4 linked regions of the Macaca fascicularis genome follow. The protein of the gene in region 1 interacts with the protein of each later gene in a biochemical or structural test. Links are inferred from orthologs where the notes say so. Each region holds a gene or a part of one and is shown on either strand. Other genes may lie near its edges.

The links. The genes of interacting proteins can lie anywhere in the genome.
Region 2: the proteins of PPP1CA (region 1) and PPP1R10 form a complex in vitro, tested with the Homo sapiens proteins (2 studies listed by BioGRID). The link is inferred for Macaca fascicularis from reciprocal best matches to the Homo sapiens genes PPP1CA and PPP1R10.
Region 3: the proteins of PPP1CA (region 1) and SFI1 form a complex in vitro, tested with the Homo sapiens proteins (2 studies listed by BioGRID and IntAct). The link is inferred for Macaca fascicularis from reciprocal best matches to the Homo sapiens genes PPP1CA and SFI1.
Region 4: the proteins of PPP1CA (region 1) and PPP1R15A are reported together in a solved structure, tested with the Homo sapiens proteins (2 studies listed by BioGRID and IntAct, with this or other methods). The link is inferred for Macaca fascicularis from reciprocal best matches to the Homo sapiens genes PPP1CA and PPP1R15A.

What each region holds. Positions count from the first base shown.
Region 1 is NC_088388.1:6,973,555-6,979,575, forward strand, and holds PPP1CA (serine/threonine-protein phosphatase PP1-alpha catalytic subunit), read left to right. Parts: upstream 1-2,345; 5' UTR 2,346-2,421; coding exon 2,422-2,476; intron 2,477-3,002; coding exon 3,003-3,134; intron 3,135-3,283; coding exon 3,284-3,514; intron 3,515-4,542; coding exon 4,543-4,647; intron 4,648-4,990; coding exon 4,991-5,214; intron 5,215-5,297; coding exon 5,298-5,432; intron 5,433-5,508; coding exon 5,509-5,619; 3' UTR 5,620-5,975; downstream 5,976-6,021. UniProt on the Homo sapiens protein: Protein phosphatase that associates with over 200 regulatory proteins to form highly specific holoenzymes which dephosphorylate hundreds of biological targets.
Region 2 is NC_088378.1:142,039,646-142,045,764, reverse strand, and holds the start of PPP1R10 (serine/threonine-protein phosphatase 1 regulatory subunit 10), read right to left. Parts: upstream 3,515-6,119; 5' UTR 3,095-3,514; exon of another isoform or gene 992-3,094; intron 1-991. Other genes in the region: MRPS18B (small ribosomal subunit protein mS40), read left to right, coding at 4,483-4,560, 6,109-6,119.
Region 3 is NC_088384.1:20,124,604-20,130,616, forward strand, and holds the start of SFI1 (protein SFI1 homolog), read right to left. Parts: upstream 3,515-6,013; 5' UTR 3,296-3,514; intron 3,155-3,295; coding exon of another isoform or gene 3,017-3,154; exon of another isoform or gene 2,861-3,016; intron 1-2,860. Other genes in the region: EIF4ENIF1 (eukaryotic translation initiation factor 4E transporter), read left to right, coding at 3,017-3,154. UniProt on the Homo sapiens protein: Plays a role in the dynamic structure of centrosome-associated contractile fibers via its interaction with CETN2.
Region 4 is NC_088393.1:56,856,286-56,862,445, reverse strand, and holds the start of PPP1R15A (protein phosphatase 1 regulatory subunit 15A), read right to left. Parts: upstream 3,515-6,160; 5' UTR 3,281-3,514; intron 2,710-3,280; 5' UTR 2,701-2,709; coding exon 910-2,700; intron 1-909. UniProt on the Homo sapiens protein: Recruits the serine/threonine-protein phosphatase PPP1CA to prevents excessive phosphorylation of the translation initiation factor eIF-2A/EIF2S1, thereby reversing the shut-off of protein synthesis initiated by stress-inducible kinases and facilitating recovery of cells from stress.

The DNA of each region.
Region 1 (6,021 bases):
AACCAGTGTGAGGGGCCACTCCCGGCCAGCCTGGGGCCTGGCTGCGGGGTGAGAGTGGGGAGGTTTCAGGGTATCTCACCAAGCCAACTATGTCTCCTCTTTTATGGGGGCGGGGGCTAGGCCCTGCCCTGACAGAAAAGCCAGGCCTCTGTCCGGAGACCCAGCCCCAGGCCCAGCCTCTGTCTCCACCAGCCCAGCTCACCTCCTGCAGCACCTCACCTCCTCCTCTCACTTCCTCCTCCTCCTCACACAGCTTCAGCAACCGCTGGGGGCCCCTCCCAAGGGTGGGGGGTGTCACCCCTTCCTCTCTGAGGCTCTTCCTGCCTGCCCCAGTGCCCCTGAGCTGTGGGCTCCTCCCACCCTCCCCATGGCCCCAGTGACTGAAGGCTTGAGTTCCTGTGCTGGGTGTGGAGGGCCCAGGCCTCTTAGACACAGAGGCCAGGCCACCTCCAATTCTTTTGTTTGTTTCTTTTGAGACAGAGTCTTGCTCTGTTGCCCAGGCTAGAGTGCAGTGGCACGGTCTCAGCTCACTGCAACCTCCACCTCCCAGATTCAAGTGATTCTCCTGCCTCAGTCTTCCAAGTAGCTGGAACTACAGACATGCACTACCATGCCCGGCTAATTTTTGTATTTTTAGTAGAGACAGGGTTTTGCCACATTGGCCAGGCTGGTCTCAAACTCCTGACCTCAGGTGATCTACCCACCTCTGCCTCCCAAAGTGCTGGGATTACAGGCATGAACCACCGCGCCTGGCCTTTGTGTTTGTTTCTTGAGGGTCATGCTCTGTCACCCAGGCTGGAGTGTAATGGCAGGATCTGGGCTCACTGCAACCCCCACCTCCTGGTCTCAAGAGATCCTCCTGCCTCAGCCTCCCTAGTAGCTGGGACTGCAGGCGTGCACCACCATGCCCAGCTAATTTTTGTATTTTTTTGTTGAGATGAGGTTTCGCCGTGTTGCCCAGGCTGGACGCAAGAGACCATCCCACCTCAGCCTCCCAAAGTGCTGGAATTACAGGCCTAAGCCGCCACAGCAGGCCCACCTCCAGTTCTGAGGTTACTGGCATGTAAAGCACCCAACTCAGGGTTCCAACAAGAATTAAGGTTAATTTATCGTCTGCTCCTTTGAGACAGAGTCTCACACTGTCACCTCGGCTAGGGGGTGCAATGGGCCTTGGCCCACTGCAACCTCCGCCTCCCAGGTTCAAGTGATTCTCCTGCCTCAGCCTCCCCAATAGCTGAGATTACAGGCGGCTGCCATCATGCCCAGCTAACTTTTTGTATTTTTAGAGAGATGGGGTTTCACCATGTTGGCCAGGCTGGTCTTGAACTCCTGACCTCAAACGATCCTCCCACCTCAGCCTCCCAAAGCGCTGGAATTACAGGCGTGAGCCACTGCACCCAGCCATGTCTGCTCATATAGTAATTCTTTTTACGTGCACACCCTGCAATATTACTGTGCTACTCAAAAGCTAATTATGGGGCCAGGCTTGTTGGCTCACGCCTGTAACCCCCCCAGGACTTTGGGAGGTCGAGGCCAGTGGATCACTTGAGGTTAGGAGTTCAAGACCAGCCGGGCCAATATGGCGAAACCCCACCTCTGCTAAACACACAAAAACCAGGCGCAGTGGCGCGCGCCTGCAATCCCAGCTACTCCAGAGGCTGAGGCAGGAGAACCCCTTGAACCTGGGAAGCGAATGTTGCAGTGAGCCAAAGTCGCGCCACTGCACTCCAGCTTAGGCGACAAAGCAAAACTCTGTCTCAAAAAAAATAAATAAATAAAAGCTAATTATGGGACTTGTAAGAAAATATTAATTTATCATGCCCCAAGGACCAAAGTGCGCTGGAAGTTCAGCCGTAGCTGTCTTTGAGTGTGGTCAGCCGCCTGGGGGCCACGGAGACCCACGAAAAAGGGGGTCGTACGTGAATGCGAGGTCCAGGTCTTGCACCAGTCTGTTCATATCTCTTGAGCCTCAGTTTCCTTTCCTGCACTTCGAGCAGTTAACCCTCAGTGCCTAGCAGCCGGTTATTAATATGTTCACAACACCCTCCACCCAGGGCAGGGGTGGGAACGGCTGTTCTGCTTTTGAAAGAGAAAAACAACTTCCACAGTTCTTCCGGCCCCACATCCTCTGAACCGGGCTGGGCGCCTCCTCTGGGGCGTAACCAGTTGGACGCGCCCCCGACAGACCCCGCCCCCAGCCCGCCGCCAAGGCCCCGCCCCCCGGGCCGCGGCGCTTCACGTCCAGCGGGGGCGCTAGAGCGCGGGGGACCGGGCGGGGCGGGCCCGGGAGGCCCGGAGGCGGGGCCGCGGGCCGGGGGCGGACTGGGGCGGGCGGAAGGAGAGCCAGGCCGGAAGGAGGCTGCCGGAGGGCGGGAGGCAGGAGCGGGCCCGGAGCTGCTGGGCTGGAGCGGCGGCGCCGCCATGTCCGATAGCGAGAAGCTCAACCTTGACTCGATCATCGGGCGCCTGCTAGAAGGTTGGTCGCGGCGGGGGAGGCCTGCGTCCGCCGCTCCCGGGCCCCCTGCCGGGCCCGGAAGTGGCGCGCGGGCGGGCCCCCGGGGCCAGCTTAGACTGGGCGGGGACGGGCCGCGAGGTTCGGTGGCCGCAGCCGCCCCCCCGCGGACGCGCCTGAGAGGTCCTGGGCCCGCTCCGACGCGCGGAGCAGCCCCCTCTCCCGGGCCGGGGGCGCACGGGTTGCCTGGGTTCTTGAGGCGAGGGAGAAACCCGGGAAGCCCGGTCCAGGAAGGGGTCCTGCGCTGTGAGGTGTTTGGGTGGCAGCCCCCTGCGCACGACAGTCGCCTCCCGAGGCGCTGAGGGTAGTTGGGGGCTTCCCTTGGGAGGCTTGAGGCCGAGGTCCCGGGAGGCTCAGCAGCAACAGCTGCCTGCGGGCAAGGAGCAGCCGAGGAGGCCTAGGCGCCCCCGGAGGTATCCATGGGGCCACCCGTGTCGCCCACCCTCCTCCTGTCAGGGTCCCGGGTCTTGACACCCCATTGCGCCCCCAGTGCAGGGCTCGCGGCCTGGCAAGAATGTACAGCTGACAGAGAACGAGATCCGCGGCCTGTGCCTGAAATCCCGGGAGATTTTCCTGAGCCAGCCCATTCTTCTGGAGCTGGAGGCACCCCTCAAGATCTGCGGTGAGCCCCCCGACCCAGGTCCCCTTGCTTTCCTGAAAGTGGCACTGGCCCCCACAGAGTTCCTGGAGTCCTCCTCCCTTGAGCCCAGTCCTGGTCCTGGGTTCAGGTCTAGACCCTGCATCTAGCTTACCCGATTCCCTGGGTCACAGGTGATATACACGGCCAGTACTATGACCTTCTGCGACTATTTGAGTATGGCGGTTTCCCTCCGGAGAGCAACTACCTCTTTCTGGGGGACTATGTGGACAGGGGCAAGCAGTCCTTGGAGACCATCTGCCTGCTGCTGGCCTATAAGATCAAGTACCCCGAGAACTTCTTCCTGCTCCGTGGGAACCACGAGTGCGCCAGCATCAACCGCATCTACGGTTTCTACGATGAGTGTGAGTGGTCTGAGCGTCTGGGGCTGCCCGGGTCCTGAACCACACTCCTTGTCATTCAGTGGGACCTTCACATTGGCCTGATATCTGACAGACACTTGCTAAGACTGTGCACTCCACGAAGGCAGGGCCCAGGTCCGTTCTTGTGCCTGCCCTGCCCCTCCTGGCATGGGGTCTGGGGAATGGTTGCTGACTGAAGGACTGTCCGTATTCTAGTGCTTTCCCCCAGGGCCCTGCCTGGTGACGTTCCCTCTACATTTGCTACTAAGCATTTAGGATGTTTGCAGATGAGCTCTGCTGTCCAGAAGCTGAGATAAACCAGACCTGTACTTGGCCCGGCTCGTGGGCCGGGGCGTGCAAGGAGTGCCAACCCTGAGGCTGGTCCAGATTGGAACTCAGTTTCCAGTGGACTCGGGTGCTTTAGAATTACTTCTGGTGGGAGGCTGAGGCGGGAAGATCACTTGGACTCAGAAGCTCCAAGTTACAGTGAGCTATGATCTTGCCAATGCACTCCAGCCTGGGTGACTGAACAAGACCCTGTTTCTTTACTTTTTTGAGACGGAGTTTCGCTCTTGTTGCCCAGGCTGGAGTGCAGTGGTGTGATCTCAGTTCACCACAACCTCCATCTCCCGGGTTCAAGCGATTCTCCTGCCTCAGCCTCCCGAGTAGCTGGGATTACAGGCATGCGACACCACGCCTGGCTAATTTTTTTGTATTTTAGTAGAGACAGGGTTTCTCCATGTTGGTCAGGCTGGTCTTGAACTTCTGACCTCAGGTGATCTGCCTGCTTCAGCCTCCCAAAGTGCTGGGATTACAGGTGTGAGCCACCATGCCCTGCCCAGATCCTGTTTGTTTAAATTACAAATTAAAATAAAAAGTAACTAGAATTACTCCTGGAAGGCTGACAGGCGGCAGGGGTGGGGGTGGTTTGCATTGGTGCCTGACTCTCTCCCATCTGCGGCTGAATAGCCCAGAGACCCCGGCTAAGGGTGGAGCAGGCAGACCCCTCACAGCTACCTCCCTCTGGGCAGGCAAGAGACGCTACAACATCAAACTGTGGAAAACGTTCACTGACTGCTTCAACTGCCTGCCCATTGCGGCCATAGTGGACGAAAAGATCTTTTGCTGCCACGGAGGTGAGCTCTCCTTAGTTGTCATCTGGGAAGTCACTCCTTTCAGGAAGTGTCTCCCATACCCCCCTGTGCTGGGCTGCACTCACTTCCTTGATGTGCATTCTACATGGGGCGGGCTTGTCTCCTTTCTCCCAGGAGCTCTGTGCTCCGGAGGCCAGGGGCGCCTTTGTGCCTGTTTGGGAACTTGAAAAAGCTGAGGGGAAGGGGATGGCTTCTGCCTGCCTGGGCACCCAGGAGACCAGTGGAGGGACCAGGAGGGTGGTGGAAAAGTGAGGCTCACTGGCCAAGGCTTCCTGGAGGAAGGATGTCCTTGTTTGAGGAAGTGACCTTCCTTCTGGCCCTCCAGGCCTCTCCCCGGACCTGCAGTCCATGGAGCAGATTCGGCGGATCATGCGGCCCACAGACGTGCCTGACCAGGGCCTGCTGTGTGACCTGCTCTGGTCTGACCCTGACAAGGACGTGCAGGGCTGGGGCGAGAACGACCGTGGCGTCTCTTTTACTTTTGGAGCCGAGGTGGTGGCCAAGTTCCTCCACAAGCACGACTTGGACCTCATCTGCCGAGCACACCAGGTGGGCTGGTGGCTCCCGTCTGTGGTGGGGGAAGGGGAGGGCCTTGCCTGCACTTGGGACTGACTGCTCCGATCCTCACCCAGGTGGTAGAAGATGGCTATGAGTTCTTTGCCAAGCGGCAGCTGGTGACACTTTTCTCAGCTCCCAACTACTGTGGCGAGTTTGACAATGCTGGCGCCATGATGAGCGTGGACGAGACCCTCATGTGCTCCTTCCAGGTGAGTGTGGGGAAGAAAGGAGCTACTAGGCCCCGTGGCTCAGCCCCATGAGCCTGACCAACCCTGTCTCTTTTAGATCCTCAAGCCCGCCGACAAGAACAAGGGGAAGTACGGGCAGTTCAGTGGCCTGAACCCTGGGGGCCGGCCCATCACCCCACCCCGCAATTCCGCCAAAGCCAAGAAATAGCCCCTGCACCCCGCGCCTGTGCCCCAGATGATGGATGGATTGTACAGAAATCATGCTGCCATGCTGGGGGGGGGTCACCCCGGCCCCTCAGGCCCACCTGTCACGGGGAACATGGAGCCTTGGTGTATTTTTCTTTTTTTTTTTTTTTAATGAATCAATAGCAGCGTCCAATCCCCCAGGGCTGCTTCCTGCCTGCATCAGCGGTGGCTGTGAGCAGGATCCTGGGGCTGAGGCTGCAGCTCAGGGCAACGGCAGACCAGGTCGTGGGTCTCCAGCCGTGCTTGGCCTCAGGGCTGGCAGCCGGATCCTGGGGCAACCCATCTGGTCTCTTGAATAAAGGTCAAAGCTGGATTCTCGCCATGGCCTCCGTCTCGCGTCTAAGACGCTGCCTGGCAGCTCCTC
Region 2 (6,119 bases), on another chromosome or scaffold:
ATTTACCTTAATTTAGAGGCACTTCTGGAAATGAAAATGATTTGTACCTAACTCATGTTCCCCTTCCTTTCTTCAGTGTTTTAGGCATTTCCTAGTTTGACTCAATAGTGGACTGAATTATGTCTCTCAGGTGATTCATCACAAGGTCATAGCTTGCTTCCAAGTAGTAAGCCCCTACCCCTCAAAGTCATTTTGCAAACCTGATACATGAGCTCCTCAAAAGCTTATCTGCCTTTCAATAAAGATGCAAAATGATACACCACCCCAACTCATAGAAAAAGACCCCAGACTGGAACTCTGGCCACAAACTACAAGGATCAGCTTTTCCAAGATTCTCTGAATGGATGTGGTTCCCCTAGTAGACCTTGCTTCCCATCTCCCATGTTAAGGAAGATCTTCATTATTAATCCCCTGGCTCACTAGATATCAGGAACCCCAGTGGGTAGAATGTTCAGCTCCCAAAGAAGATATGCTGCAGAGGCACATGGCAAACTGCTTAAAAGAAAAAAAACAACAAAACAAAACAAAAAAAACTTGTGGTCAATAGACATGTGGAAGAGTCCCTCCCATCCAATCCAGAAGTTTAAGTAATAATTTGAGAATCTGTACCCAGTAGAAAATTAGCCCTAAGTCTCACCCACATCACCACAGGGCAGTTGTGCTTTCCAATTCTGCCTAGAACCTCCACGCTTCAGTGCAGGACTTTTAAAAATTAAAATTATATGGAGAGTCTGATAAAGATTTGGCTTTGAAAAAGTTGGGGGAAGGAACCAGACACCCAATACCACCCTCAGATAGGGCATGGCTTCTGAACATGCACCAACTGCCACAGCACTGCATGAGTTGAAAAATGAAGAGGACATCATTTTTTCATTAATGCTTTCAAGGAATTTCTTTTAGAAGGGAAGGAAAAAGAAATTCAAAAAAGGTGGCTCTTTGGGAAAAAAAAAATGAAAGTTGTGAAATGTAATACCAGAAAGGTTTTGCTTACCAGAAACCGTAGCTTGATTCCCCCTGCCTTGAGTTTACAACTGCCGCCTCCTTTCCTAAAGATTCACTTCTTATCCTAGTACCAATGTACAGGAACTAAGTGCAGAACGTGATACAGCACTGAATACAGTTTATCCCCAAACTGAGAGGTGGGAATGAGGGCGATTTAGAAGAAAGTCCTAGAAGTATCCACCTTCCCCCGATTCTCATTACACAAAGCGACCAAATGCAGGAGGCCCAAAGACTGGTTCCTGAGCAGAAATGGCACATTTCAGTGTCATCAGGCCCGTTTATCTCGAAGGGACTCTCGCAAGCCCTTGTGTCTTTCCCATCTCCCTCTACACACATATATACATACACACACGCTCACACACATCCTCAAAGCTCCCAGTCTTGGGTTTGCCTGTTTTTTCACCCCTGGCAGCTGAAGTGGGGAAAAATTACAAGCAGTTGTGATGAGTGAAAGTGAAAATAAAAACTGGTTCTATAAAAACTAGAACTACCCAAGGAGATGGACAGCCTTAATACTTAATTCCTATAAGCTCTCATCCCTTTAAGGTATTTTATATAATGAAAATTAGGAAAATGTCTTCTCCCTAGCAGCCACGAGCACAGGGAGTGCAAAGGCATCTGCTCAGGGGTGGAGCTTCAAGAGGGTGGAGAAAAGAGGAAGAAAGCTGATTACATCACCTTTCAAGGCTGCTCCTCCCCCTTGACCAAGTTTCTAGGGCGGCCCTAAGCTCAGGATGGCAAAAGGGGAAGAAAAACAACAAAGACGGAGGGACGCCATTTTGTAATGGAGAAAGAGGACTCGAACTATAAAAAGCCACCCAGCTCTGCCGGTAGCTTCAGTTACATTATAAAAACACCTTTTTAGTAAAAAAGCCAAAAGCCAGTTCCCCATCGTGAATAATCTTTGACCTATTTTGATCAGTAAGAGCGTAGTGAAAATTAAAGCAATCAAAATATTAGAACAATTTTCTGCAGGGAAGAACTGAATTTGCAACGGAGGTTCAACCGGCTACCATCGACCACCCCCATCCTCCCTATAGAGGGAAAGGGGGAGGAAGGACTTGGACCCCTCTCAACAAATAGGGTTGAGGTGGGAGGACAGGAAAAAAAATGGGTCAAGACACAACCTGCAACGCCGCTTGGAAGACAAAAGGACAAGGAAAGTCGCCATATTGAAGCAGGGAAGAAAAAAATTCCTTTTAACGACACAAATCTTTTAGAAAGCTAGCATTCAATTGCACTAAATGGCTTTTAAAATTATACTCCTAAATTCCACATTACCCAACCTTTCCACCCTCTATTTAACTGTACCTCCCCCACCAAAAAATATCAAGTTAAAATGTTAATCACTCTTTTGCTTTTAAATACCTATGCAATCTGCAACAATTATAAGACATTCTTTACCTCCCCAACTATTGTATGTACTGGCACTAAGATTATATTTTGTCCTAAGTGTCTTGCAATCTTTATTCCTAGATTGCCACCTATTTTAACCACACAAATATACCCCAAACAAATTACATTAAAATTGAGAGGATTTAACAGTCATTTAAAAAGTTATAGCGAGCTATTATTTCTCTCTGCCCATCTCCTTACCCTGCAATCTTTATGTACAGATTGCTTATTAATCTGGCAAATTGAAAGGCACCCTGCTTGTCTCACACACAAAGAAGTGGTACTTCTGGGCCACAAGATCCACCATCTCTTGTATGTGAGCTCATTAACCCTTTCGAAGACTGCTGCTAACCAGAGGAAGGTAACCATTCCTCCTTATATAAACACGTATGGCTTTGGCAGTCTGGAAATTGGCTGGATTACCAAGGGTTAACCATCAAAATCCTCACTTGCTGGCCCTCCCTCCACCCTCTCTTTGCCTGCAGCAGGGCAGGGAAGAGATAGGTGGTAGGGGAGAGAGAACAAGACTGTTTAGACCCACAGGCCCTTTTTAATGGAGATTAAGTGACCAGATTGGTCCTTCTCCAGTTCTCTATTTGTTCTATGGTCTCATTTCTTCCTCTCATTATTTTTGGTTTCACAACGGGAAACGTTGACTTCTTGTTGCAAGGCTGGTTTTTGAAAATTCGACACTTACTATCCAATTTTTTTGCGACGTCAGCACCTCGGGCTCAGGGGGGAGGGGGTAAAATTTTGGAGGAAAAAAAATAAAACAACCAACCAGGACCCAAAACTCAATTATTTAGGGGGCCTCATTGGATCAAAAAGTCTTTTAAAAAATAAAGGCCAACTCAGTATTCATTTCCCCCCCCACCCAACTCCATTTAGGGAGGGGGGTCGCAGAAAAAAGTTCTGAGTGGATTCAAAAAAGTAAACGCTGGATGAGTGAATTTGGGTGGTTTGGGAAGGGAGGGTGGTTGATTATTTTTCAAGTTATGTGGTGACGGTCCTTCGGCCACAGATTTCAAGTCCCAAGCAGCGTGGGCTGGTGGGGTGGGCAAGATAGGTGGGAAGGGGCAGAAGACACAAGTGGTTGGGCTGGTGGCTGCTGTTTTCCCTTTCCCCCCTCTCTCAGGATCCTTTCAAGGGCTTAGATGTTGCTGCGGCTTGTTTCTGTTTTCCTCGTGGTCGGCCTGTCTTTCTCCGAGAAAATTCAAACCTGGGATAAAAGGAACACAAGGGAGAAAGATGTAATCAGTACGGGTTGCTTCAAAACACCCAGAAATGCCATCTTTGCTGTCCCCAAACAAACCTCTGTGTCCCATCCTGATCGCAGCCGCTTTAAGCCGTGGCTCTCAAATGAACCCACCCCTACCCCGCTTCCCAGATCCAACGCTCTCCGCAAAATTTTACCCACTAAACAACAAGGTAGGTAAACTTACCTCTAAACGAACCCCAGAATGGCGGCCGCCCGCTCGGGTGGAGTCTTTTATACCCGGACGCCGCCCAACGCGCCCAAACGTGCTGGTGAAACGCCCTTGTCGCGAGACATTATACGCGAGGCGTGAACTCATTGGTCAACCTAAACGACAATTCGCCAGCTGATTGGCTAGTCTCACTTCACCTTTGCTCCGCCCCTTCCCCGGCACTCTCTTCCGCCTCCTTTCTGCCTCCCTGTTGCGTGCGCGTGACCAGAGAGCCCAGCACCTCCCTTTCCTCTGCTTCCGCCACTTCCGCCCTGGAGAACATTTCTCACCCAGGGTTGGTAGAAACGTGCCGGAGCATGCGCACTGAGAGGATCTCGATAAAAATCGCCTTCAAAATTGCTTAAAAGGCAAACTCTAACAAAGAGATCTAAGAGTCGTAGTGACTAGCCAAGAAAAAATGCAATTTTGAGGTCTAATTCGATTGTGACGCAGTTGAAATTAGCTTCTCCGCCCATGCCTTCCCTTTCACGCTTCCGTCCTGACGCAAACGTGCGGCCGCCTTCCGCACTGCGGGCTTGTCCTTGGCCCTGCCCTAGTCAGTTTCCTGAAGCATGCGCAGTTGCCTTTCCTTCCATTCCTGTGCTGGGCGTACGTCAAGATGGCGGCGTCCGTATTAAACACCCTGCTGAGGCGGCTTCCTATGCTTTCTCTCTTCCGAGGTGCCCACAGAGTTCAGGTAACTTCTCGAAGGACATTTTGCACAACCCCAAGTTGGTTATACCTTCTCTAGGTCGTCGCTCCGCTGTCAGGAATCCACGAGTGGAGACCTTCCCACGTGTTTATATCTTAGCTGTCTAGGCAGTACTTCCAGCAACCCCCTCCCATACACCGCGCGTTTTCTAATCCCGAGCCGAGGACTAAGCCCCAGGGTTAGGTGTCATCCTTCTTCCAAAATGCCATCTCAGTAAAATAATTAAGTGATAGAATTGACCCCCGTCCACCCTCAGTTATGCATAACCAGCTTTTTGAAAATTATTTAAATAATTAAGGGGCTATGCTAATGTTGTATCGTTGCAATTTTAGCGTAACATATGTGCTCCCCAAGCGAGCGCCACAACCAGCTCTTAACTGTGCAGGTCATGTCTAAATCTGTGTTGCTCAGGAATGTCCTTAGGGAAATTAGGGATCCTAATTTCTACCCACCTTGCTATTTCCCAGTAAGGTCAGGATATATTCTTACGACCTGAGGACAGTTTCTCAGCTCTCTTTATTAAATCAGTTTCTTATCAGAGTTATGAGAGCTTAACTCCGTCCTTTGAATTGAGGTTTCCCTCCAGTCTTGTGTACTCACCTCTCTGGAGGTTCTTGGTGGGGCACGGTGAGATAGAAAGGCTTGCCCAGCTGCCACTCCCTAAAGTGGGACTGAAGAGTGGTGACAGAGGTCAACACAGACTTAATAACAGCCTTGGTAGCTTTAAAACTAGCGTTAGGACTCAAGTTTGTTCTGCCCTGTAGATTGTTGACCTTCAGCTTTTATGAAAATGGGCAACTCAGTGACTTCATTGCATTGATTTGGAGACTCACCTGTCTTCAGCATCCCCTCCCCACCACACATCTTGGTTCCGAGAACCTAGATATCCTTCCTCTTTATTCTTCCACCAGAATCAATTCATTTCCAAAAAGCAGGACTACCTTTTATGTACTAGATTTTTTTTTTCTTTTTTCTTTAGATGGAGTCTCACTCTGTTGCCAGGCTGGAGTGCAGTGGTGCGATCTTGGCTCACTGCAATCTCTGCCTCCCGGGTTCAAGCGATTCTCCTGCCTCAGCCTCCTGAGTAGCTGGGACTACAGGCACATGCCACCACGCCCAGCTAATTTTTTGTATTTTTGGTAGAGATGAGGTTTCACCATGTTGGCCAGGATGATCTTGATCTCTTGACCTCATGATCCGCCCGCCTCAGCCTCCCAAAGTGCTGGGATTACAGACGTGAGCCACTGCGCTGGGCCTTGTACTAGACTTTTTAATTGTCTTCTGAAATAAGATTGTTTTTCAGCATATATCCGCTAACTTAGCTTTTCTTTCAGGATCCAGTTGTAGAAAAGGAGCGTTGTTGTTGATTTATGTCAGTTTAAACCCAACAAAAATACTTAACTTACATATGTATTCCTGTTATATTCCATTAATGCAATATGTATGCATTCCCCCTCTTTCCAAAATGTGATAAGCAAACCATTGAGTTCTTTCCTTGAACTCATTATTTTATTTTTTTCTTCTCCTTTATAGGTTCCCCTCCA
Region 3 (6,013 bases), on another chromosome or scaffold:
AGGGTGGGCCCTTAATCCAAAATGATCTGTCTTTCTTAAAAGAGAAGACACAAGGGACAGATACCCTGGGCCTTCAGGGAGAGGATAAGACCTTGATTTCAGACTTCTAGCCTCTAAAACTGTGAAAGAATCAACTTCTATTAGTTTTAAGCCACCTGGTTTGCGGTACTTTGTTACAGCAGCCCTAGGAAACTAATACAAGTAGTAAGACAGAAGAGTAAGATTTAAGTAATGGTGGAGGCAAGCTAACAGGGTGAACGTGTCCTATGTTGAGTAATTGTGATGCATTTACCAGATGTTTCATTCTACAAGAATGAAGTCACCCTTATAATCAAGGTCACATATTTCAATGACAATCAGACAAGGAATTAGCCAGTTTATCCATACAAAACGAACAATCCTTACTTACATCAAACCAATGTCCTAGATTTTCTGATACCACACTCCAAGTAACAGAGCTCATCATAAGTGACTATTTCTACAAATAAATCAAATAGAAGGAGTATTCAAATAGTGACTTTTGGTGAAATACTGCTATAATCAATGTGTCTCTGCCTTGGGTTTCTGTCATAATGATTCTGTGGAATGTCCTTCGTGGTCAAGGACCCCCTTTTGTTATACACTCATACCAGCATTCTACCTATTTGTACATGTCTGCCTTCTCCACTAAAATATAAATTCCATGAAAATAGGAATCATATCTGATCTTCTCTCCACTGTATCTCCAGCCTCTAAAACAATGTCTGTAACCTCACAGATAAAATACACACATACTGGAAAAACTAGGACACAGGTTTGCTTTCAATAAGGACATGTATGAATATAAACTTGCTTATAAGTTGGAATATACATAATGATAATCAAATATAAAACACGGCCGAGGACGGTGGCACATGCCTATAATCCCAGAACTTTGAGAGGCTGAGGCAGGTGGATCACCCGAGGTCAGGAGTTTGTGACCAGCCTAACAGGTGAAACCCCATCTCTACTTAAAAAAAAAACAAGCATGGTGGCGAATGCCTGTAATCCAAGCTACTTTGGAGGCTGCAACAAGAACGCTCGTACCTGGGAGGTGGAGGTTGCAGTGAGCCAAGATTACACCACTGTACTCCAGCCTGGGCAACAAGAACAAAACTCCATCTCAAAAAAAAAAAAAAAAGTCTAAGAAAAACTAAAATTATTAGGTGTTGACTCCCAGTTAAACATGTAGATTGACCTTCTAAGGTGATAGTAAAGAATACAAAGGAACAAACCATAAGGTTAAAGAGATGAGAGAAGAGATTATAGGACACCAGCGATTTCCACATTTTTACAAGGAAAATGAAGTGGCCTAACAGGTTTGAGGAAATGAAAAACTTTGATTTGAGGATACCAAAGGAAAGCGGGCCACACAGATTTCCAATCCTGTCAGACAGGGTATTCAGGTCCCTTCTGCTGTCCTGCTTCCAACATTCTGGTAGCTAGATGGTACCTTTCAGGCAGGAGACTGGAAAAGTCTTCTCAGAAAACACTAAAAACTAACAGATCTCCAGATTCTGAAACATGTGCTTTACTCTCCATCAATGAAAAAGCAGACTTGTCCCTAGATTACCCTAAAGTGAAGCCCATGAACCCCGCAGTCCTGCTTAGACACTAGGAGCTTCCAGCTAATTTCTCAGTTACACATTTTTTTTTTTTTGAGACGGAGTCTCACTTTGTTGCCCAGGCTGGAGTGCGGTGGCTCAATCACGGCTCACTGTAACCTCTGCATCCTGGGTTCAAGCGATTCTTCTGTCTCAGCCTCCTGAGTACCATCACACTTGGCTAATTTTTTTCTATTTTTGGTAGAGGAGGTTTCACCACGTTGGCCAGACTGGTCTTGAACTCCTGACCTCAAGTGATCTGCCCGCCTCAGCCTCCCAAAGTGCTGTGATTACAGGCATGAACCGCTTCCCCTGGCCAGCTTACAACTTTTCTTCTGCAGCTTCCTCATCTCTCCCAGTCCTCACAGAACTGAAGAGAATTAGGGTCTTGCTCAAAATTAGGTTTTGGTTTAAGAAAACATTGTGGCTAGTTTGATCTTCTATCCAGACTACTAAAAGTTTCTCCATATCAGCAATAAGGCTGTTTAGCTTTCTTATCCCTGGTGTGTTCCCTGGAGTAGCACTTTTAATTTGCTTCAACAACTTTTTCTTTATATTCACAACTCGGCTGTTCGGTACAAGAGGCCTAGCTTTCACGTTATTTCAGCTTTTGATGTGCCTCCTTCACTAAGCTTAGTCATTTCGAGCTTTTGATATAAAGTGAGACATGAAACCCTTCCTTTCACTTGAACACTTAGGGTTCACTGTGGGGCTATTAATTGGCCTAATTTCAATATTGTTGCCTCTCAGGCTACAAGGAGGACCGAGAGGGAGGAGATAAACAGGGAACTGGCAGGTAGGTGGGGCAGTCAGACACAACACTTAAGTTTACTGTTTTATACCAGTGAGGTTCATGGCGACCTAAAACAATTGCAATAATAACATCAAAGATCACTGATCACAGATCACTGTAACGGTATACCTGAAATAAAGTTTGAAATATAGCGATAGTTACCAAAGTGTCAGTGATAGGAAGTGGGCACATGCTGCTGAAAAACTAGTTGTTCGGCGCAGGACTACTTGCTACAAACTTTCAATTTGTAAAAAACACAATACCTATTAAGTTCAATAAAGCAAGGTATGGCTGTACTCAAGTCCCTAGCATCATTCATTCAACAAATATTTACAACACATCTACACAGCACTTAGGAAACCTGAACAGCCTCCCATAAAATAAAAACATGCACCCACCTCCCACGCGGGGAAGGCTTCAAGGTTTGTTTACTGCGTTACCCCCTGCGGGCTCGGTGGGGGAAGGTCGCCCATACACCAGCCCTTCCGCTCTCCTGGGCCACTTAGCCGGGAGAAGGAAACCCCTCATTTGGATCCGCGTACGCTAAGAAGCATTGCGTAGACTCGAGCACCGGCCAGGAGCGCACTAGACGCCTGGGAGGATGCGGTGCCCCCGGGGCGCAGGACAAGAAGCCGAGGAGACGCGGTGGGAGAGGATAGCGGGAGAGGATGGCAGGCTCCAGGCCCCGTCCTGCGCCCTCTTGTCGCACTTCCTCCATTCCCGCACCACAGACCCGCAGGTAGGCAACATCACCTGCACTTTTAGGGGAGGAAGCAGAGGCTCGCACAGATTTCACCGGACTCGGAGGGACCCGACTGAGCTCCCTGCCGGAGAGGCCGAGCCCATAAGAGGGTGGGGACGTTAGGATCGGGCCTCGTACCTGGGGAAGCCGAGCCATCGGGCCTGACGCTGGGAGAAAACCCGGCGGGAGAGGGCGGTCCGGGACCTGCTTCGTAACTCCCGCGCGGCCCACGCCAGCCTCAGCGCTTCGCGCGCCTCTAGACGCCAGTCTCGCGCCGCGCCCGCCCTTGTCTCCACGGCGACGCGGCGCGCACGAGGACCACCCCATTCAGACCCCGGGGCTTGCGCAGCCTCAGTCGGGCGGGTGGCGCACGACCGGTCGCTTTTGCAGCAGCCGCAATGAGAGTCGGTTCCGAGGGGCGTGGGGAATGCACCGTCTGGGCATCCCCACTGACAGTCTTTGGCTCGCTAGCTTAGCTCTGAGCTCAGGTTGTACATGTCTGCCTTCTCCTCTTAGACGAGAGAAGTGGGAGGCATTCCGAGGCGGAACCCCGAGTTAACACCGCCCGGGGTCGAGCACTAAGGATGAGGTTCCAGCTGGGAGGTGGCTGCGAACGAAAGTCTTCTTTCCCTCACTTCCGGGCTCGTGCGTGAGCCTCTCTGGCTTTTGGTTCACGGGGAGTGGAAACCGGAACCCGTGGAGTATGACCCGCCCATGCGTGTACCCGGCAGATTGCTACAACTTGCACTTGGAGGGGAGAAGTCCCATGGCCCCCGAATTAGAAATCCCAGGCTTATCTCTTTTTTTAACCCTTCATTTGAAAATGTAATTAATAAGCACTCCTTTTTGTTAAATTTTTTAATTTGGGCCGATCCTAATAAAAACAGGAGTGGGAGGGGTAAGTGGGACTTTTGAAATACTTTTTTACTGTGCTTTGTAAAACGTTTGAAAGCACGTGAGATTCCTGGTGCAGACACTAAAAGCAGTAGTTACTTAAATACTTGAAAGATTTTACGCTAAAAACATGAGGAAAATTAACTTGTTGGGTGTCTCGGGGTTAGAATCACAGATAATTTGTATTTTTGTCCTATTTTCTACATGCTAATTTTTGCAATTAAAACATTTATTATTTATTTATCTATTTATTTTGAGAAGGAGACACCCTCTGTCGTCCAGGCTGCAGTGCAGTGGCATGATCTGGGCTTACTTCCACCTTCACCTCCCGGGTTCAAGCGTTTCTCCTGCCTCAGCCTCCCAGGCGCACGCCACCACGCCCGGCTAATTTTTTTTTTTTTTTTTTTTTTTAGAGAGACGGGTTTCACCATGTTGGCCAGGTGAGTCTCGAACTCCTGACCTCAAGTGATCCCCCCGCTTCAGCCTCCCAAAGTGCTGGGATTACAGGCGTGAGCTACCGCACCTGGCCCTGAGGCGGATCACTTGAGGTCAGGAGTTCGAGACCAGCTTGGCCAATATGGTGAAACCCCGTCTCTACTAAAAATAAATTTTAAAAAAAAAATTAGCCGGCCGTGGTAGTCCCAGCTACTGGGGAGGCTTAGACAGGAGAATCGCTTGAACTCAGGAGGCAGAGGTTGCAGTGGGCTGCGATCGTGCCATTGTACTCCAGCCTGGGCAACAAGAGCAAAACTCTGTCTCAAAAACAAACGGCCGGGCGCGGTGGCTCAAGCCTGTAATCCCAGCACTTTGGGAGGCCGAGACGGGCGAATCACGAGGTCAGGAGATCGAGACCATCCTGGTTAATACGGTGAAACCCCGTCTCTACTGAAAAGTACAAAAAACTAGCCGGGCGAGGTGGCGGGCGCCTGTAGTCCCAGCTACTTGGGAGGCTGAGGCAGGAGAATGGCGTGAACCCGGGAGGCGGAGCTTGCAGTGAGCTGAGATCTGGCCACTGCACTCCGGCCTGGGCGACAGAGCGAGACTCCGTCTCAAAAAATAAAAACAAAAAAACAAAAACAAGGCCGGGCGCGGTGGCTCAAGCCTGTAATCCCAGCACTTTGGGAGGCCGAGACGGGCGGATCACGAGGTCAGGAGATCGAGACCATCCTGGCTAACACGGTGAAACCCCGTCTCTACTAAAAAAAATACAAAAAACTAGCCGGGCGCGGTGGCGGGCGCCTGTAGTCCCAGCTACTCGGGAGGCTGAGGCAGGAGAATGGCGTGAACCCGGGAGGCGGAGCTTGCAGTGAGCTGAGATCCGGCCACTGCACTCCAGCCTGGGCGGCAGAGCGAGACTCCCTCTCAAAAAAAAAACAAACAAACAAACAAACAAAAAAAACAAACATATTTTAAAAGGAGTTCTACTTTCTCGGACATCAATGCCAGTGTCTTAGGGACAACTTTCATCTGAAGTTAATGTGGCCAAGTAGTTTTAAAATAAGTTAGTAAGCTTCAAGGTTGTAATTAACAGTATAACTAGGCCGGGCGCGGTGGCTCAAGCCTGTAATCCCAGCACTTTGGGAGGCCGAGACGGGTGGATCACAAGGTCAGGAGATCGAGACCATCCTGGCTAACACGATGAAACCCCGTCTCTACTAAAAAAAATACAAAAAACTAGCCGGGCGAGGTGGTGGGCGCCTGTAGTCCCGGCTGAGGCAGGAGAATGGCGTAAAAACCCGGGAGGCGGAGCTTGCAGTGAGCTGAGATCCGGCCACTGCACTCCACCCTGGGCGACATAGCGAGACTCCGTCTCAAAAAAAAAAAAAAAAAAACAGTATAACTAACCTATTCGCTGTAATTTAGCCTAAGTACTTATATAATTATGTAGATTTATATAAATTACATATTTAGGATAAGTCAATAAGCATTCTTTCTAGATGATTTGAGCTAATTTCCTAATGC
Region 4 (6,160 bases), on another chromosome or scaffold:
GAGAAGCAAACAAAAATTAGTTATTACACAAAAATGCTTTCTATCTGGCTAGTCACTTGCCTGTCACTGTCATGGGATTCTCCATCTGACTCACTGAAGGCAGAGACGGTTTCCTGGGGTTGCTGTGAGCCACAGCTGCTCCCTCCTCCCCCAGGGGCCTGGCCTCTTACAAGAGATTGCGTGACAGTGTACACAGCCCTCCCCATAGAAATGACACGCAATCCTCTGCAATATACAGGGACCTGGAGTCTCAGCCTCCAGCCCCTTCCTCTCCCAGACTCAAGAATCTGGGCTCTCGGCCAGACGTGGTAGCTCATGCCTGTAATCCCAGCACTTGGGGAGGCTGAGATGGGCAGATCACGTGAGGTCAGGAGTTCAAGACCAGCCTGGCCAACATGGTGAAACCCCCATCTCTACTAAAAATACAAAAAAATTAGCTGGGTGTGGTGTCGTGTGCCTGTTATCCCAGATACTCCAGAGGCTGAGGCACGAGAATTGCTTGAACTTGGGCTGCAGAGGTTGGCAGTGAGCCAAGATCGCGCCACTGCACTCCAGCCTAGGTGACAGTGCAAGACTCAATTTAAAAAAAAAAAAAAAGGCCGGGCACGGCGGCTCATGCCTGTAATCCCAGCATTTTGGGAGGCCGAGGTGGGAGGATCATGAGGTCAGGAGATCGAGACCATCTTGGCTAACACGGTGAAACCCCTTCTCTACTAAAAATACAAAAATTAGCCGGGCGAGGTGGCGGGCGCCTGTAGTCCCAGCTACTCGGGAGGCTGAGGCATGAGAATGGCGTAAACCCGGGAGGCGGAGCTTGCAGTGAGCCGTGATGGCGCCACTGCACTCCAGCCTGGGCGACACAGCGAGACTCCGTCTCAAAAAAAAAGAATCTGGGCTCTCAGCACCCACCTTTCTGGCCTTTAGGGGAATCTCGGGGTCCAGATCACGGGTAGGGGTTTCTGGGCGCTTGAGCCGCCTCTGCAGTCGGAGGGGCAGTCTAGGAGGAGCCCAGGGAGGTGGTGGCTTCTCTCCAGGTACATAGATGGCCACTCGGAAGGGGCAGGGCTCAGCTTCTCCCCAGTCCTCAGCAGCTTCCTCTTCCTCTGTCTCCTTTCCAGGTCGGTATACCCAGCCCCTGAAGTGGGCACTCTGGGCCGGGTGGGAGGGATGTGGGTCTGACTCAGCTTCTCCCATGGCTGCTTCTGAATCATCTTCCTTACCCTCACTATCCGCATCCTCATCTTCCTCCTCCTCCGTGTCCTCTCCTGGCCGATACACCCAGGACTTCAAGAAAGCACTTGGAGGGGGTGTGGAAGTGGAAATTTCAGCTTCTCTTTCATCCTCAGCTGATCCTGTATCACTGTCCTCATCTTCCTCCTCCTCCGTGTCCTCTCCTGGCCGATACACCCAGGCCTTCAAGAAAGCACTTGCAGGGGGTGTGGAAGTGGAAATCTCAGCTTCTCTTTCATCCTCAGCTGATCCTGTATCACTGTCCTCATCTTCCTCCTCCTCCGTGTCCTCTCCTGGTCGATACACCCAGGACTTCAAGACACCTGTAGCAGGAGTGGAAGAGGAAGCCTCAGCTTCTCCCTCTTCCTCATCTGATCCAGAGTCACTGTCCTCATCTTCCTCATCTTCCTCTTCCTCCGTGTCCTCTCCAGGCCAATACACCCAGGCCTTCAGGAAGGCACTTGAGGGGGGGATGCAGGGAGGACACTCAGCTTCTCCATCCTTCTCAGCTGCCCCCAAAATCTTGACCTCACCCTCCTCTTCATCACTGGGTTGGCACCACCAGGACTTGAGCTGGGGCCTTTGGGCTGGGGCTGAGGAGTGTGGCCCTGGGGCAGCTTCTCCTTTCCCAGCTTCTTCGTGTGCCTTTTCTTCCTTCTCCTCGGACGCCTCTCCTGAACGACACTCCCAGGCCCTGGGGTTGGAGCCTGAAGATGGGGGGGACACGGAGGTCTTCCTGGCTCCTTTACTTTTTTCTATTCTTCTTTCGTCCTCCGTGGCTTGATTCTCTTCCTCCCCTGGGCAAGACACCCAAGTGCTGGGCTTGGATCCTGGAGACAAGGCAGAAGTAGAGGTTCTGCGAGTTTCTTTCTTTACAGCTTCTTCATCGACCTCTTCCTCCACTGCTGGACAACACTCCCGGTGTGACAGAGGATAAGAGAACTTGTTAACTCCCTCCTCTTCAGCAACTCCCTCTTCCTCAGCTTTCTCCTCCCCTGGGTTCTTATCAGAACCTTGCAGCGTCCTTATCAGAAGGCTGGGAGACAGGGGAGCAGGCTGGCCATCTGCAAATTGACTTCCCTGCCCTCTAGGGACGCTGGTTGCTTCTTGCTCACTATATATGTCATCATAATCATCCAAAAGTCCCCAGGCTTCAGGAAGGGAACTGCTGGTTTTCAGGCCCAGTGTTTCTCTGTTCTCTCCAGGGCCTGCACGGTCTTCAGCCTCCTCATCAAGGCATCTGCCGCAAGGGATATGGGGGGTTGCCAGAGGAGTCCTGGCTTTTCCCTCCAGGCCAGCTTCTACCAGAGCTACTCCTTTTACTGCCTCCACCAGCCAGGGCTCTGGAGGTCCCAGGCCCCTCAGGCGGCTCCAGGCCCGGCTGAGGAGGCCCATCACTGGGGACAGGAGGAAGAAAGGGTGGGCATCCCTCCATGGGGTAGCCTGATGGGGTGCTTGGCCTGGGGCCATGTGTCTGGGCTGGAAAAGGGGGAGGAAAAAAATAAAGTTTAGGGGCCATTTAGGGGATGGCATCCGGGCATGACTATGAGTCATAGCAACAGAAATAGTAACACAACTATTGTCAACAGCAACGCAAGAGTCCCAAATTCCTTTCTGATCTCAGCCACGCCCATCTCTGCCTCTTGGCTCTGTTCTCTCTCATCTCTCAATAGCCAGGAGTCTGAGCCCCTAGTTCTTCCTTAGATCCAAGGGTCCAAGCCCCCAGCCCCCTCTTTCTTCAGACGCAGAAGTCCCAGTCCCAAGAACCAAGAACAAAAGTCTTTTGCTTGCTTCCCTTGGCGACAAAGTCATAGTCCCTCCCTAGCTCTGTCATCCTGCTGAAGATCAAACCCTCACACCCTCCTCCCTTGCAGACTCAAACATTCTGACCCGACCCCCGACTTGCTAGATGATTCCTTCACGGGGACCCAAGAATCTGGCTTCCAGATCCCTCCTCCCTCAGGCTCCGGACTCCAGGGTCCCAATCTCTTCTTCCTAAATCCAGGTCTCCAGCCCCGTGGGGACCCAGGCGTTCCGACCCCTTACTCACCGGTGGGGGGCTGCGCGTCACCCCGGGGGCAGGAGCGCCGGCTCGGTCTGCCAGAAGCGATCACAGGTCCTGACGATTAGGAAGGCCAGCGCGTTCATCTCACCCTCAGGCGTCGGGCTCCAGGGGACTCAGAGTATCTCCGGCTGCCTCAAGCGCAGTGGCGACAAGCGGGCGCGGGGTCCTGCGGCGTCTTGCATACGACCAACAACTTGGACAGGAACCAACACGATGAGCGCAAGCGTAGGCCACGACGCGTTTATATTCTACAGCGCCTGGCGTGCTGACGTCACGGGGAGAGGCGGGGTTTCGAGACCACAACCCGAAGGGTGGGAAGTGAAAGACTGGACTTCTCGCGGAGATTCCAGCCTTTGTAACGTCTCGGCGGAGTTTCCGAGCGTGACCACGCCCCCCCAACCAGCAAACTGTCAATCAAATGCGTGGTCCTGCTTCAGCAGCGAGCCGGTTCTCTCTTAGCTGAGGGCCAATGCCTTCCCACCCAAATTTATTTATTTGTGTATTTATGTATTTATTTACTTATTTATTTATTTAGGTTCGTTAGTTATTTTGAGGCGAGTTTTGCTCTTGTTGCTCAGGCTGGAATGCAATGACGCTATCTCGGCTCACCGCAACCTCCGCCTCCGGGGTTCAATCTCCTGCCTCAGCATCCCGAGTAGCTGGGATTACAGGCAGGTGCCACCACGCACGGCTAATTTTGTATTTTTTGAGCAGAGATGTAGCTTCTCCATGTTGGTCAGGCTGGTCTGGAACTCCTGACCTCAGGGGATCTGCCTGCCTTGGCCTCCCAAAGTGCTGGGATTACAGGCGTGAGTCACCGCCTCCGACCTATTTATTTATTTATTTATTATTTATTTATTATTTATTTATGTATTTTTCTGAGACGGGATTTCACCATGTTTGCCAGGCTGGTCTCAAACTCCTTACCTCAGGTGTTCTGCCTGCCTCGGCCTCCCAAAGTGCTGGGATTACAGGCGTGAGTTACCGCCCCAGGCCTATGTATTTATTTATTTTATTATTATTATTATTTTGAGACGGAGTCTCGCTCTGTCACCCAGGCTGGAGTGCAGTGGCCCGATCTTGGCTCACTACAAGCTCTGCCTCCCGGGTTCATGGCATTCTCCTGCCTCAGCCTCCCGAGTAGCTGGGACTACAGGCCCCTGCTACCATGCCTGGCTAACTTTTTGTATTTTTAGTAGAAGCAGGTTTTCACCGTGTTAGCCAGGATGGTCTCAATCTCCTGACCTTGTGATCTGCCCGCCTCGGCCTCCCAAAGTGCTGGGATTACAGGCGTGAGCCACCTCGCCCGGCCTGTTATTTATTTATTTTTTTGAGACAGAGTCTCGCTCTGTCACTGAGGCTGGAATGCAATGGTGCGATCGGCTCACTGCAGCCTCCATCTCCTGGGTTCAAGCAATTCTCTTGCCTCAGCCTCTGAGTAGCTGGGATTACAGGCATGCACTACCACACCTGGCTAATTTTTTGTATACAGACAGGGTTTCGCCATGTTGCCCAGGCTGGTCTTGAACTCCTGAGCTCAGGCAATCTACCCACCTTGGCCTCCCAAAGTGTTGGGATTATAGGCGTGAGCCACTGCACCCGACCTATTTATTTATTTTTTGAGACAGAGTCTCACTTTGTTGCCCAGGCTGGAGTTCAGTGGCGCCATCTTGGCTCACTGCAGCCTCCACCTCCCGGGTTCCAGTGATTCTCCTGCCTCAGCCTCTGGAATAGCTGGGATTACAGGAGTGTGCCGCAATGCCCAGGTAATTTTTGTATTTTTAGTAGAGACAGTGTTTTGCCACGTTGACCAGGCTGGTCTTGAGCTCCTGACCTCAGGTGATCTGCCCGCCTTGGCTTCCCAAAGTGCTGGAATTACAAGCATGATCCACTGTACCTGGTCTCCTACCCCAATTTAGCCCAAAGGCCCAGCCTACAGCCCCCCATTTTCTTTTTCTTTCTTTCTTTCTTTCTTTCTTTCTTTCTTTCTTTCTTTCTTTCTTTCTTTCTTTCTTTCTTCTTTCTTTCTTTCTTTCTCTCTCTCTCTCTCTCTTTCTTTCTTTCCTTTCTTTCTTTCTTTCTTTCCTTTCTTTTCTTTCTTTCTTTCTTTCTTTCTTTCTTTCTTTCTTTCTTTCTTTCTTTCTTTCTTTCTTTCTTTTTCTTTCTTTCTTTCTGTCTCTCTCTCTCTCTCTTTCTTTCCCCCCTCCTTCCCTCCTTCCTTCCTTCCTTTCTCTCTTTCTCTCTCTCTTTCTTTCTCTCTCTCTCTGTCTCTCTCTCCCTCTTTCTTTTTTTCGAGACGGTGTCTGGCTCTGTCACCCAGGCTGGAGTGCAATGGTGTGATCTTGGCTCATTGCAACCTCCACCTCCCAGGTTCAAGCAATTCTCCTGCCTCAGCCTCCTGAGTAGTTGGGAGTACAAGAGCTCGCCACCACGCACAGCTAGAGTCTCCTATTTTCACACGCAGTTGGTTTCCTCCCTGAGTGCGAGGGTGTCATTGTTCCCATTTCACAAATGGGGAAACAGGCTTGAAAATGAAACCACTTGACTAAGATAGTCACAGCAGAGTCCAGATTCCTTGCAAATGAGAATGAAGATGTAAGCACTATGAGATCAGGCACTTTGCTAGGCTCAGTGCTTTTAAAAAAATAATAATTAATTTAGGCCAGGTGCGGTGGCTCACGCCTGTAGTCCCAGCACTTTGGGAAGCTGAGGCGGGCAGATCACGAGGTTGAGATTGAGATCATCCTGGCCAGCATGGTGAAACCCTGTCTCTACTAAAAATAGAAAAATTAGGCCGGACGCAGTGGCTCATGCCTGTAATCCCAGCACTTTGGGAGGCTGAGGCAGGCGGATCACAGGGTCAGG